Sus scrofa: one gene and its partners. The protein of the gene in region 1 binds, or shares a complex with, the protein of each later gene. Links are inferred from orthologs where the notes say so. Each region holds a gene or a part of one and is shown on either strand. Other genes may lie near its edges. The genes, in order: PIGQ, PIGH and PIGY.

The links.
Region 2: PIGQ (region 1) and PIGH share a complex: the UniProt entries of both Homo sapiens proteins name them as parts of the glycosylphosphatidylinositol-N-acetylglucosaminyltransferase (GPI-GnT) complex. The link is inferred for Sus scrofa from reciprocal best matches to the Homo sapiens genes PIGQ and PIGH.
Region 3: PIGQ (region 1) and PIGY share a complex: the UniProt entries of both Homo sapiens proteins name them as parts of the glycosylphosphatidylinositol-N-acetylglucosaminyltransferase (GPI-GnT) complex. The link is inferred for Sus scrofa from reciprocal best matches to the Homo sapiens genes PIGQ and PIGY.

The regions. Positions count from the first base shown.
Region 1 is NC_010445.4:41,173,574-41,177,693, forward strand, and holds the start of PIGQ (phosphatidylinositol N-acetylglucosaminyltransferase subunit Q), read right to left. Parts: upstream 2,793-4,120; 5' UTR 2,751-2,792; coding exon 2,614-2,750; intron 1-2,613. UniProt on the Homo sapiens protein: Part of the glycosylphosphatidylinositol-N-acetylglucosaminyltransferase (GPI-GnT) complex that catalyzes the transfer of N-acetylglucosamine from UDP-N-acetylglucosamine to phosphatidylinositol and participates in the first step of GPI biosynthesis.
Region 2 is NC_010449.5:91,313,836-91,317,955, forward strand, and holds the start of PIGH (phosphatidylinositol N-acetylglucosaminyltransferase subunit H), read right to left. Parts: upstream 2,514-4,120; 5' UTR 2,411-2,513; coding exon 2,231-2,410; intron 1-2,230. UniProt on the Homo sapiens protein: Part of the glycosylphosphatidylinositol-N-acetylglucosaminyltransferase (GPI-GnT) complex that catalyzes the transfer of N-acetylglucosamine from UDP-N-acetylglucosamine to phosphatidylinositol and participates in the first step of GPI biosynthesis.
Region 3 is NC_010450.4:130,526,276-130,530,395, forward strand, and holds PIGY (phosphatidylinositol N-acetylglucosaminyltransferase subunit Y), read left to right. Parts: upstream 1-1,295; 5' UTR 1,296-1,367; coding exon of another isoform or gene 1,368-1,570; intron 1,571-2,668; coding exon of another isoform or gene 2,669-2,810; 5' UTR 2,811-2,899; coding exon 2,900-3,115; 3' UTR 3,116-3,708; downstream 3,709-4,120. UniProt on the Homo sapiens protein: Part of the glycosylphosphatidylinositol-N-acetylglucosaminyltransferase (GPI-GnT) complex that catalyzes the transfer of N-acetylglucosamine from UDP-N-acetylglucosamine to phosphatidylinositol and participates in the first step of GPI biosynthesis.

The DNA of each region.
Region 1 (4,120 bases):
CCGCCGCCGCCACTGTGCCGCAAGCACCACGGGCTGGCTGGCAGCGCCCGACCTGTGGGCCCTGGCCCACATGTGGCCCAGTCGGCCCTGACAGACACATCCACTGGCCGCTGGGCCCACAGGTCGGGGTGACCCAGCTTTGGGTCTGGTCACAAGGCTGGTGGGGAGGCCCGGCTGTCCGTCTTCGGCCCAGGCTGCTCCCACCCCACCCTGAGGCAGGGGCACACGTCCCCCTTCAGAGCCGAGCAAGCTGGGGGGGGGCACTGCACAGAGCTGGGCACAAGGGTGCAATTTTTGTTTTTAAGGACCTGATGACAGTTCTTTGCATACACATAGAAAAACGTACGATCTCATGAACAACTAATGTAAATTAAAAATCTAACAAACCTTGATTTTCTAAGTTAGCGAGAACAAAGACGAAAAATTAAATGGCTGCTGAGCTGAAGGAAATGAGGCAGGGCACCGGCACTGGCAGCTGGCTCTGGCACAGGCGGGCCCAGAAGATGCCTGGGGGCAGGCCTGATGCCCCAGGGAGCCCGCACCCTCCCCCGGGGAGCCTCAGCGCCCAGGGCACAGGCCAGCTGCCTAGGGTTTTCTCTACGACCACCAGACCACTGGAGCCTCCAGCACTCAGCTCTGCCCCCCCTCCCTGGAGCCCCGCCCTCCTCTAGGACCCACTCCCCTGACCAAGGAGGGGTCTAGAAGTTCTCCCACCAGGGGAACAGCAGAGGGGACGCCAGCCTTCCCAGCCTTACAGGACCTCCAACTAGCCTTGGGGAACAGGGGACAGAGTAGGACACACATGTTGAGGACATGCCTTTCCTGAGGGTTAGAGCAGTCTGGGAGGGGCAACAGGTGCAGCTGCTTTCCTCCCGCCAGGTAGTCAGGGCACAGCTGAAGGGGGAGGCCTCTCCCACCTGTGGGTTCTGAATGGAAAGGGTCCCCTGAGTCAACCAGCAGCCAGGCTTCCAAATGCCCCTCTGCCCAGAGACCAGAGAGGGCCAGCCACGCGAGTGTCTCCAGGAGAAAGTCTCTGTGGCCATCAGCAAGGACCAGCTGGCCTTCCTGACCCTTCTGAGGGGCACTGTGAGGACAGAGCCGTTCTGCCTTAGGGTCCTGGCACATCTGGTTGGGTGACCACCTGGGGGACCAGCCAGCCTGGTCCAAGCCTCTCAGCACCAGCCCATCGGACACACCAGCTCAGCCAAATGACAGCATCACACCCTGCCTGGGACTCCTTTCACAGGACCTAAGGAAAACTGCCCGTAGCCGATGTCAGAAACTGAACACAACTGGTGGGAGGGAGTTCCCTGGGGTCTAGCGGTGAAGACCTGGAGCTTTCACTGCTGCGGCCTGGGTTCTGTTCCCGGCCTGGGAACTGAGATCACATCAAGCTGCTGCAGGCCACGGGCAAAAGAGCGAGCAGGGGCTCTGGGGGAAGTGGGCTACACACTGAGTTCACTTTCAGAAAATTCATTGAGCTGTACCTGTAGGTGCACTTTCTTTGTGTGTTTTATGCTTCATCTACAAACTTTTCCCAAAAAAAGCTCCTCTTGTCTAGGGAAGAGCAGAGAGCAAAGGGTGGTGTTCCCGTCCGTGGGGCAGAGAGAGCGCTCTTCTCTTAAATCATGGGGCAAGCTTCCATCCCCACCCCGCCTCAGCCTCTGGGCGGGACCAGCACAAAGAAGGCTCTCAGATCAGACCGCCAGGAAAAGATGAAAGAGCAGGCAATCGATAGCAGAGGTGCAGACGGGAGGGAGCAGGCAGCAACCCCGCGCCTCGAACATCTTTAAAGACTGTGCACAAGCCTGGGAAAGCTGCCTCTGTTAAGAATGACGGTCTGTCCTCTGGGACCCGGCCCGTTCCAGATCCGTTGGGGAAGGCCAATGCGGGCATGCCCGGCGCCTGGCAAGCTCAACTCAGTAGCCTACCTCATGAGGCTGAAGGCCTCCCACCTCTGCGCGAGTGGATCCAGGGCAAAAGCCCAGTTACAACCAGCCAGGGACGTCTCTAGCCCTCCCCTGTGGAGACTCGCGCTCCTCAAGAGCTCACAAGATCCGTTCTTACTCTATGTGTTTGTGTTTAGAACACAACAAGCGTTCAGTAAACAGTGCTTTTCTTCTCTCATTTCAGAAGAAGAGACACGAATCTAGGGCTCTGGGTTTTGCCCTTTACTGCAGTCAGGGACAGCTGTAAAGTGCTGACAGCCGGTTCCAATGACCCTGAATGCCCTTCCAAAGAGTCCACAGCGGGAACCAGGTTGGGCCAGAGGGACCCGGCTGGCCTCCCTTCACCCCACAGGGCCGGGACCAGATTCCTCGCCAGGGCACCCACGCCGCCCCGCCGCAAACGCGGGGCTTGGCGGACGGGCCCCAGGAGGACCCGGCGGGGCCTCACCGCCCTCCCAAGTCTCAAGCCCGCCCTGGCCGGCAGCGTCCCTATTTTACAAATGAGGAAACAGAAGCTCCGAGAAGCAGGAGGCCAGCGCGGCTCCGGAGACCCTCGGGCTCCCGGGTCTGTCGGGCGGCGCGGCGGGAGTCGGGACCACAGGCCGGCGGGGGCAGCTCCCCAAGGTCGCGCCGCAGGACGCTGGCCCGCCCCCTGAGTGCTCACCGGCTGCTCCCCGGGGCCGCCCCCTCGGGCGGCAGGGTCGGGATGGGGTTGGGGACAACGACGGGTGGGCCCGGGCGGACGACGGCGCTCACGGCCCCCAGCCCCGCCGCGGCCGTGCCGCGGGACAGGAGCCCCATTTCCGCCCGCTCCCGGCGTTGCCGCGCTACGGTCCGTCCCCAAATGTGCCCGGGCTGCCCGCCGGCCTCACGCACAAGCGTTCCCCGCATGCAACGTTCCGGACCCTCGAGCCAGTGTGGCCAGAATGACTCCCTTGTTGCCATAGCGTCCCCGTCTGCCCGACCCACGCCGCGCACCTTGGTCCTCCTCACGCTCTGTGCACAAAGCCCTTGTCCCACCTCCAGCCTACCCACAGTGTCCCCAACACCCCTGCCTTCCAGTCATCCACCTTGCCGCAGCCACCAAACCTCTCTCCCATCCCGAGTTTCCTCGTCTGGGGACCCATTAGACCTGACAAATGAGGATCCCCGCCCTCTCCTTGCCCCCCACCATCCAGGTGAAAGGACCCCAAGTCCTGGGTGGGATCTCCCGGCTCCCCTCTCCCAGCATCCTGGTTCCTGCAGGGGCCACGTGAGCTTGGAGGGCCAGCCCAGAGGCTGAAGCCATCCGATCTGATGGCCCCTCCTGCTCCAGGGAAAAATACCCCCAACACCAGCAGCAGCAACTAATGTTTACTGAGAACCGGCAACAGAACTTTCCACACTGACCCGCTAACCCACCGCCACCTCCGCAGAGCCGGAACATATAGGCGGGACCTTGTCAGGCAATGGCCCAAACCACAGACCCCTAAACCACAGTCCTTGTGAGAGGCAGAAGCATCCCTCACCAGCCGCCCGGGCAGGACTAGGCACTGTCCCCTCCCCCTGAAGACCCCCTCACTGGAACTGGGAGCAAGGCTGGGCCCCAGACTCAGAGTAACCCCGCACCTGCCCGCCCCTCCGGGCCTCCTGTTCCTGCTGTTTTTCAGCAGCAGGAGTCTGTCCTCACAAGAACTGTCCCCATGCCCTTGCAGCCTCGTTTGCGGAGGAGGAAACGACGGCTCAGACAGCCTCCTGTGGGAGAAGACGCCCAGGAGCCTGGAGGTTCACAGCTCAGCCACGTGACAGCCCAGGGCGCCTCCAGGGCAGCCCCTCTTCTGCCCCCCCTTACCTCGGCTGAGGCCAGAGAAGCTGCAGGAGGCTCAGAACCTGGGGCGCCTCTGAAAATGGGGGACTGTGAGGGGCCGCGCCCCTTCCCAGACTGCCCTGATGAGCCCAGCCCAGCCACACCCTCCCCGCCGGCTTCTGTCTGATTAGGAGGCAGGGGCTGCGGCGCCAGCGGGAGATCCTGCCTGGGGGAGGGCTGGCAGCTGGCCCAACTCTCCAGAGATCCCCAGGCTTCAGCTGCTGGCCCCGAAGGGCAGGCCTCCTGGGCCCTGGGGGCTGGGAGGCAGGTGATCCCGGCTGCCGAGCAGGACTGAATCCTCGCCCAGAGGAGGACAGGGGCCAGT
Region 2 (4,120 bases), on another chromosome or scaffold:
TAAAAAATACTTTTGGAGGATACTGTGATACTATTCACTAGAAGTGATACTTTTAGAAGTGCCTAAGACTGGATTAAAAGAGAGAGAGCGAAAGCAAGAAAGAGACTTAAGCACACAGGAAGATCCCATGAAGACGTCCAAGGAAGCAGGATTTAGCTGGTACAGAGGAGGTAGTGGTTATTGACAGATATACTTAGCTGAGAAAAGGAAGGAGGTCGATATTCTAGGAATAAATAAAGACTTAGAATTCCAACAGAACTGTGAGTTCAAAAACTGGGAGGAAAGAAGGGATGAAGAACATGATATACTTAGGGGATTTGACCCATATTAGCATTTCTAGAAAGTAATCCTTGCCCCAAACTTCATTACTACCTACATTTTTTTTTTTTTTGCACTTTAGGGCTGCATCCGCGGCATATGGAGGTTCCCAGGCCAGGGGTCTAATCGGAGCTACAGCTGCCAGCCTACACCACAGCCACAGCAACACCAGATCTGAGCTTCATCTGCGACCTACACCACAGCTCACGGCAACATCAGATCCTTAACCCACTGAGTGAGCCAGGGACTGAACCTGCAACCTCATGATTCCTAGTTGGATCTGTTTCCACTGCGCCACGATGGGAACTCCACTACCTACAATTTTTTATACTTCATTTTTCTTTCTGAAATTCTAACAATTCAGTATTCGTTTGGGTTGAAGTTAAGCCACATGTTTTAAGGAATTTCTTCATCAGACTTCTCATTCTAGCTGAGATTCATTACTCTAATAGTTTTGAATAGGAGGAAAGAAAAGAAATTTTGGTGCACAGGGCCCTTAAGAAGTGTTGCAGTGGAGTTTAAAGGAAGCTGAAGTTACGGAGCCTGGACATTTGATGGGGTAAGTGGGATATACCAGGATGGGAGAAATGCATACAAAAGGGAGCTGGCACAATAACAAACTTCCCCTATTTAAAAATTTTGCCTAAGTAAGCCCTCCCCAAGGAGGAGACATCATAGTGTAGTGAGAAGAAATGGTTTCAGAGTCAGCCCTGGGTTTGAAACCCAGGTATGCCATTTACTAGCTTTATCACTTCGGATAAGTTATTACTCTGAGTCTTGATTTTCTTCTAAGGTTGAAACAAGGCATTTAGTAAAGCAGCAGGCACTTGGTGGGCATTTAATAAAAATACCTGTTCCCTCTTCCTCACATGACTACATGGTCAGAGCTCAAGCTCGTATTGAAGTTCAGCTATATTATATATTAAATCTTTTTACGGAAGGGGAAGGACGGTCCTGGCAACTTAACCAATTCGAGTGACTTACAAACAAGCTTTTCAATGCAATTTGGTACAAATTAATGGATGCAGTATGGGAAACAATACCCAAACTATAGAAATAAATAGCCTTGCTGTACTTAGCTCTAGTTAGGTCACTCCTGGGATAATACATTCAATTTAGGGCACTACATACGAAACTAAATTACTGAAGAAAACAATAAGGATGATTCCTTTTATTTGAGGGCTGTCACAAAGCCACTACATGTGACCCTCACAATGCTGTGAAAGTGGCGTGGCAGATATTAATTGCATTTTGGAGACGTGAACATTGAGGCCCAGAAAAAGGGAATGAGTCTAGAACTGAGCATAGAAACCACCCATGTCCAAAATTTCACAATTTAAGTTTGGGGAAGGGATCGGGAGGAGGAGGAGTTAGGCTGCCTTGAAAAGGAGATTAGGAAGAACTATATCAAACTCTTAACTTGCTTGTGTGAACTGCGGAGGCAAAGACACACGGAGGCAAAGACATTACTGTGGCGGCACAGGCAGTTTCTAGAAGACTTTAAGGTACTGTTAGCAGTGATTCCTCTGAGGAGTGGAAGTGATGGATGATGACGATCCATTTAGTTCTCTTGAACTCTTGGACCTGAATGACCATGCGCGTGGACTACAGAGAGCACGGGGAAGTTAATGTTTTGGACTGTCGTGCAAGGACGAGCTCCATCTGTATGCTGGGTGGAACCAGGGAGCAGAGCAGCGGCCCGTGAGCGGGATAAAGTACAGGAGCACAAACGTCACTAAACCTAAGGAGGAGAGCTGTCCAGCAGCGGAATGGCGTCCCCAGAACCCTCCCGTTCCCTCCCTCCAGCCCTGCGACTGGAGGAGGGTCCGGCGAGAGGTCTGGGCTCAACCCAAGACCCTTCTAAAGCCGAGCCTCCGACTCCGGCCCGCGGGAAGGGGCCGGCCGGCCTTACCTCGCAAAGCGTGAAGAGTCCGTAGGCCGCCAGCCACACGGTGCAGGTGACTGCGGTGAGCGAGCGGAACGAGATCCGAGGGCAGCTGAGACAGAACTCCCGGCAGGACGGGGAGTAGTAGCGCCGCTGCAGGGCCAGGCGGCCCCCGCAGATGTCTGAGAAGCTCTGCTCGTCCTCCATGGCCGGCTCGCCTCCACCAGGCCACGCCGCGGCGTCTGGCGCGCCCTCCAGCGTCCTCTCGCCGGCTCTGGGCGAGCTTCCCGAGCGGGGTTGGCCACGCCCCTCCCCCGGCTGCGCGCAGCCGCAGTTCCGCCGCCGACAGGAGGGACGCTCTTCGGGTTTAGGTTTTTCCACGCCCTGGCCCAGAGGGATTTGAAGATTATCTACCCCAGAGATTCAAAGGGGGCCAAGGCCTCAGCGGGCAGATTAAAACAGCTGTTAATGTGCTTTCGCCCAACAAACTGATTTCTATTTCTAAGCCAGAGTACGCCCAAGGAGACAGCCCGCAGGTATTTGTTCATTCATTCATTCATTCATCCCGGTGCAAGGTAGTTTTAGGTGCTGAAGGGGTACAGCGGTAAACAGTATTGACAAAATCCCTGCTTTCTAGTAGTTTCCTTCCTATTAAGAGAAACAATATGGAAATAATCTCAGAGTGCTCTTGGCAATAATAGGACCTGCAGGGCTACTCGAGGACTTTGAAGAGGACAGACGACATCCTCTGAGATGAGACACTGGAGCTACAAGTATAAGGTGCCAGACTGGTCTGAGGCAGGTCTGGAGAAGAAATTTGCCAGGAAGGAGGACCAGGAAAAAGAAAGCCCCCGAGGCTGGAACAAGATCGGCTTATTGAAGGAATCAAAAGGTCAGAGAGGCTGACGCATAAGGAATGCAGTCGGCTGTTGGGAGGTAGGTAGCGGTCAGAACCAGGAGGATTTTGTATAGGGCTTGGTAAGGAGTTTAGATCTCACTGGCTAGGTGTCCTCTCTCCCAAACCACTGCCTGGAGCATTGAGTAGGCAGACAAATCCTGGCTGGGAGGTTAGCAAGAGCGGAAGATGATGAGTCTAATTATTATCCCTTCCTTCTGCCATCAAAGGAGTTCCCTTTGTGGCCAGTGGGTTAAGAACCCGACTAGTATCCATGAACACCTGGGTTCGATCCCTGGCCGTGTTCAGTCAGTTAAGGATCCAGCATTGCGGGGAGCTGTGGTATAGGTTGCAGATGCAGTTTGGATCCCAAGTTGCTGCAGCTGTATCTCTGATTCTACTCCTAGCCTGGAAATTTCCATATACTGCAGATGCAGCCCTAAAAATTTTTTTAATTAAAAAATAAAAAACCAACAAAAAGAACTCGTAAATCTTATTGCAGTTTTTTGTGAAATTGATCAAGAAATATTTACATTTGGAGTTCCCGTTGTGGATCAGTGGTTAACTAATCCAACTAGGGACCATGAGGTTTCGGATTCGATCCCTGGCCTTGCTCAGTGCGTTAAAGATGTGGCATGGCCGTGAGCTATGGTGTAGGTCACAGATGCTGCTCGGATCCTGAGTTGCTGTGACTCTGGCACGGGCTGGTGGCTACAGCTCCGATTCGACCCCTAGCCTGGGAACCTCCATATGCCGCAGGAGTAGCCCAAGAAATGGCAAAAAGACAAAAAAAAAAAAAAAAGAAAAAGAAATTTTACATTAAAAAGACAAATATAACACATTTTGTTGACAAATTCCAGTCTTGCTGCTTGCTGCTAAAAAGTCAATACTCAAGAGGCAAGTGCTGGTAGAAACAGATTGCTTTAATCAAAAGCTGGCAATCTGGGGAGAAAGTGGACCCCTATAACAAGACCAGCTCCCAAGATTCTGTTTGGCCATGAAGGTTTTCAAGGGAGAAAGGG
Region 3 (4,120 bases), on another chromosome or scaffold:
TGACTAACCAAGAATCTTCTAGTATACTGGGCTGCAAAGAATAGAGAAAATAAAAATGACAACATATGCCATTAACTGAGCATTCATTTGCCACAGGCATTTTTCTAAATACTCTTTGCATTCATTAGCACATTTTAAGCCCCAGGATGGAATTATATGAGGTAGGAACAATAATTAATCTAATTACACAGATAAGAAAGCTGGGGAGGGAGTTCCCGTCGTGGTGCAGTGGTTAACGAATCCGACTAGGAACCATGAGGTTGCGGGTTTGGTCCCTGCCCTTGCTCAGTGGGTCAAGGTTCCGGCGTTGCCGTGAGCTGTGGTGTAGGTTGCAGACGCGGCTCGGATCCCGCGTGGCTGTGGCTCTGGCGTAGGCCGGCGGCTACAGCTCCGATTCGACCTCTAGCCCGGGAACCTCCATATGCCGCGGGAGCGGCCCAAGAAATGGCAAAAAGACAAAAAAAAAAAAAAAAAAAAAAAAAAGAAAAAGAAAAGAAAGCTGGGGAGTTAGGAGATTTGCGGGAGCCCTACAACTAGTAAACGATGCACCTGGGACCAAGGTGTCAGGCCCGGACCCCCGGCACTTACCTCCTACACTATAAGAAAGAGATCAAATCCGCATCATTTTCTGGGAGAGTCAGAAGCAAATGCGGGGCGAGAAAAAAACCACTGTGTGGATCACCCACTTAATTAAAGGACACAGTTACTTAGACTCCTTGCGGTTTCCAAGCTCATTTACAGAAGCAAATGAGTGGTGCTATTATTATGCCATTGAGCCCAGGGTAAGAAACTGGGCATCTTAAGTTTAAGAGGACTAAGCCATTCTTTTCCCGTTCTTATATTTTTTTTAATGAAAGGAGAAAAAAAAAAAGCCAAACAAGGTTATAGGAAGTGTGGTACTGCAAAGACTGACAGATACACATAAAACAAGTAATGCTTTTTAACATACCCAGTGTGACAGTGTGTTGGAAACCTCCTTTTGGTGATAACCACGGAGGTCCAAGTCTATCACTGTGTGACTCTGAGGTCCGGCCACTGGCTTCCTGGAGGCCCTGCGACAGGCCCTGGTGAAAACTCAGGACGCCTCCACTTGAGCGTGGGTTTTGTCTGCAACCTGCAAACGGGCAGGAAGAGCCGCAGAAAGCCCAGGCTGCAGGCGGGGCTCTCCATACCGAGCGGTGCCGCGGGAAAAGCAGTCGGGTCCCGAGCGCCCTCGGAACCAAAGAGCGGGCCTCCAGCCGTCGGGGGCAGCGTTTCCCGAGCACCGGGGGGCGGGGCCTGGCCGCCTGGGCGGGACTCCCCGGGATCGGCTGGAGCGGCCGGAGCGGCCCAGGGGGTGCGGAGGTCCGCGCGCCGGCGGCCAGACCATGCTGAGCGGAGCGCGCGGTCGGCTCGCCTTAGCGCTGCGAGGGACACGCGCGCCGCCGTCCGCGGTCGCCAGGAGGTGCCTGCACGCTTCGGGCTCGCGGCCGTCCGCGGACGAGAACAAGAAGGAGGGGAAACCGCCACGCGCCTTCGACCCGGCGCTGCTGGAGTTCTTGGTGTGCCCGCTGTCCAAGAAGCCGCTCAGGTAAGATTCGTCCGCTGCGGCTTTTCCCTGGTGGCCCCCTGTCGCCGGGGAGACGTTCAGGTCACCCGGGTGTTCTTCGCTGCCATGTTTTGGACCCGGGCCCGCCAGCTTCCCGGGTACTCGCTCCGCCGCGGGAAGGGCGGGAGGAGGCCCCAGCCGAGCCCCAGGCCTCCCGGACCAAACCGGCCACTCGCAGGCCTGGATCCTGGCGGGCAGCTTCTCCGCCGGCAGCGTTTTAGAATCTCGGGGGAATCCTTCTTAAAACGCAGATCTCTAGGCAACGCCCCACCCGGGCTCAATCCGAAGGCCTTGGGGCCGAGCCAGAGCAACTGCGTATTTTCTTGAAAGGATCCCAAGTGATCTTCCTGTACAGCCAGGGTTATGAACTCGGGATTCGGAAGACTAATCCATGGCATTCAGATTTTTAAGGCAAGGCGATGAAAAATGTGATAGCTTCCAGATTGTTGCGAAAACGCCGGGTAGGATCTTAAGCGCATCAGCTACGTGTGCGGCCCTTTGGTTTTTAGTTCTCGACCAGCCGGTTCTGTAAAGGCCTTCTTAACCTTTCACCTAGACTCTTTAGGATAAACATCTCTGCAGTTGCAGGCTGCTAAACCTGAACGTGGACAATACTAGCAAACACCGCAGTGTCATCAGTGGCTGCCTTTGGGTGGTAGATTGCTGCTTCCGTGGTTTCCTTCTCATGGATCAGTGAGGCAGGTGTTCTGATAAGCGAAGAAGCTGAATTTTCCTCTCGTGTCTGTTCCAGTAGTAAATTAGCTGGGATCGTTTGAGGGTTTAAAAGAGTCATGAAGGAATATTTGGATGAAAAGGAGAGATCTTTTCTTTTTTTTTTTCCACTAAGGCATAGCTTAAGAATAACGTGAAAAAGAAAATGAGAGAAACAGACTAAAATGGGAACAATTAGAGATTCCTTTTCTAAGAGAAATGGTTGAATTGGCTACTGCTGCTTTTAGAATGAAAAACAGTCTAATTCTGCTTTTCTGGCTCTAACTGTGTGAAGAATTGGATAAATGTTACTGTTTATTGAACCTCAGACTCTTCCGGGATTCATTTTGGTTTTCTTCTGCCCCTCAGATATGAACCATCGACAAATGAATTGATTAATGAAGAGCTGGGAATAGCCTATCCGATTATTGACGGGATTCCTAATATGATACCACAGGCAGCTAGGATGACACATCAAAATAAGAAGCAAGAAGAAATGAAGCAGCACTAGGTCATACGTAAACACAACACAAGGAAATTTTCTAAACACCATCCACCTTCGAAGAAGCCAGCGTGGCGGGTGGTGGGTGGGAGAGAAGAATGTTTCTGTCTCTTCCCACGCTGACTGTCCTTGTCCCCCTGGTCTCTCTGGGAGGACTGCTGTACTCCGCCTCCGTGGAAGAGAGCTTCCCCCAGGGCTGCACCAGCACAGCCAGCCTGTGCTTCTACAGTCTGCTCCTGCCCATCACCATCCCCGTTTACGTGTTCTTCCACCTCTGGACTTGGATGGGTATTAAACTCTTCCGGCATAATTAACGCAGCCGGAGCCACGATGGTATTTAAACTCATGATATGCTTGAGTGAGTGTGTCCGAAAGCTCCGCCACATGGAAATACTGGAAACCCAGACTTTGCAGGAAAGAGGCTTTGCTTATTAGCCTTTGTCAGAGGTTTAGGACTATGTGACGTTTAAGCTGCAAGAGGCTTCTTTCTTGTATTTTGGTTCTTCCCCTGCTTTTTGAAGGTTCTGATTTATACCTGGTCTCTCGGAAGAAACATTTCAACAAAGTGGCTTGTTGGAAATTAGCACCCCCACAGCCATCATCTGATGGCTTGTTCTTATCCCATTCATAATTAAAAATTACTAATTCGAAATTGTAGGTTTGTTTTTAGGTTCAAAGCCTTTGGTAAAGCCACATGTGAAGGATGACTGAGATAATTCCAAGGAGCTATGGGGAGTAATTGTAGAGAAATGCATTTGGACTAGTGTGATATAAAACTATAATAAAATGTAAATTTCATGTACTTGCCAAAATTCTGAGTTGGTAAAATTGCCTTCATTTCTTTGGCATCAGATGGCTTACATTATTAATAAGATATTGACATTTTCCATAAAACAATTTGCAGTTTTGTGTTTGGTTTTTTTTTTTTTTTCCTTTTGGTCACAAGAATATAATTCAAAGACAAGGAAATTATATGTTTAGAGAGGCACCCAAAATAGAACAGAATTTCCCAGGAAAGTATGTGCTGTGAGGAGAGGTGGAATTGAAAGACTGGCAAATAGCTGATTGTGTCCTGTTGAGTTTAGTTAGGGCGATTATTGAGCCACATTTCAGTTTATTTTTCTGCCATAAGAGACCTATTTATTTAGCAATACTAAGGGCATGAGCATTTGACACATTAATAGTTATTGATTTTCCAGAATTTTCAATAAGACTGATTAGTACAATAACTGTTTCAGAAGTATAACAAATGTTTCAGTATTTACCCTCATGAAGCCTAAGAACTCAATGTAACCTTAACTGATTCTTAATAGAATTTT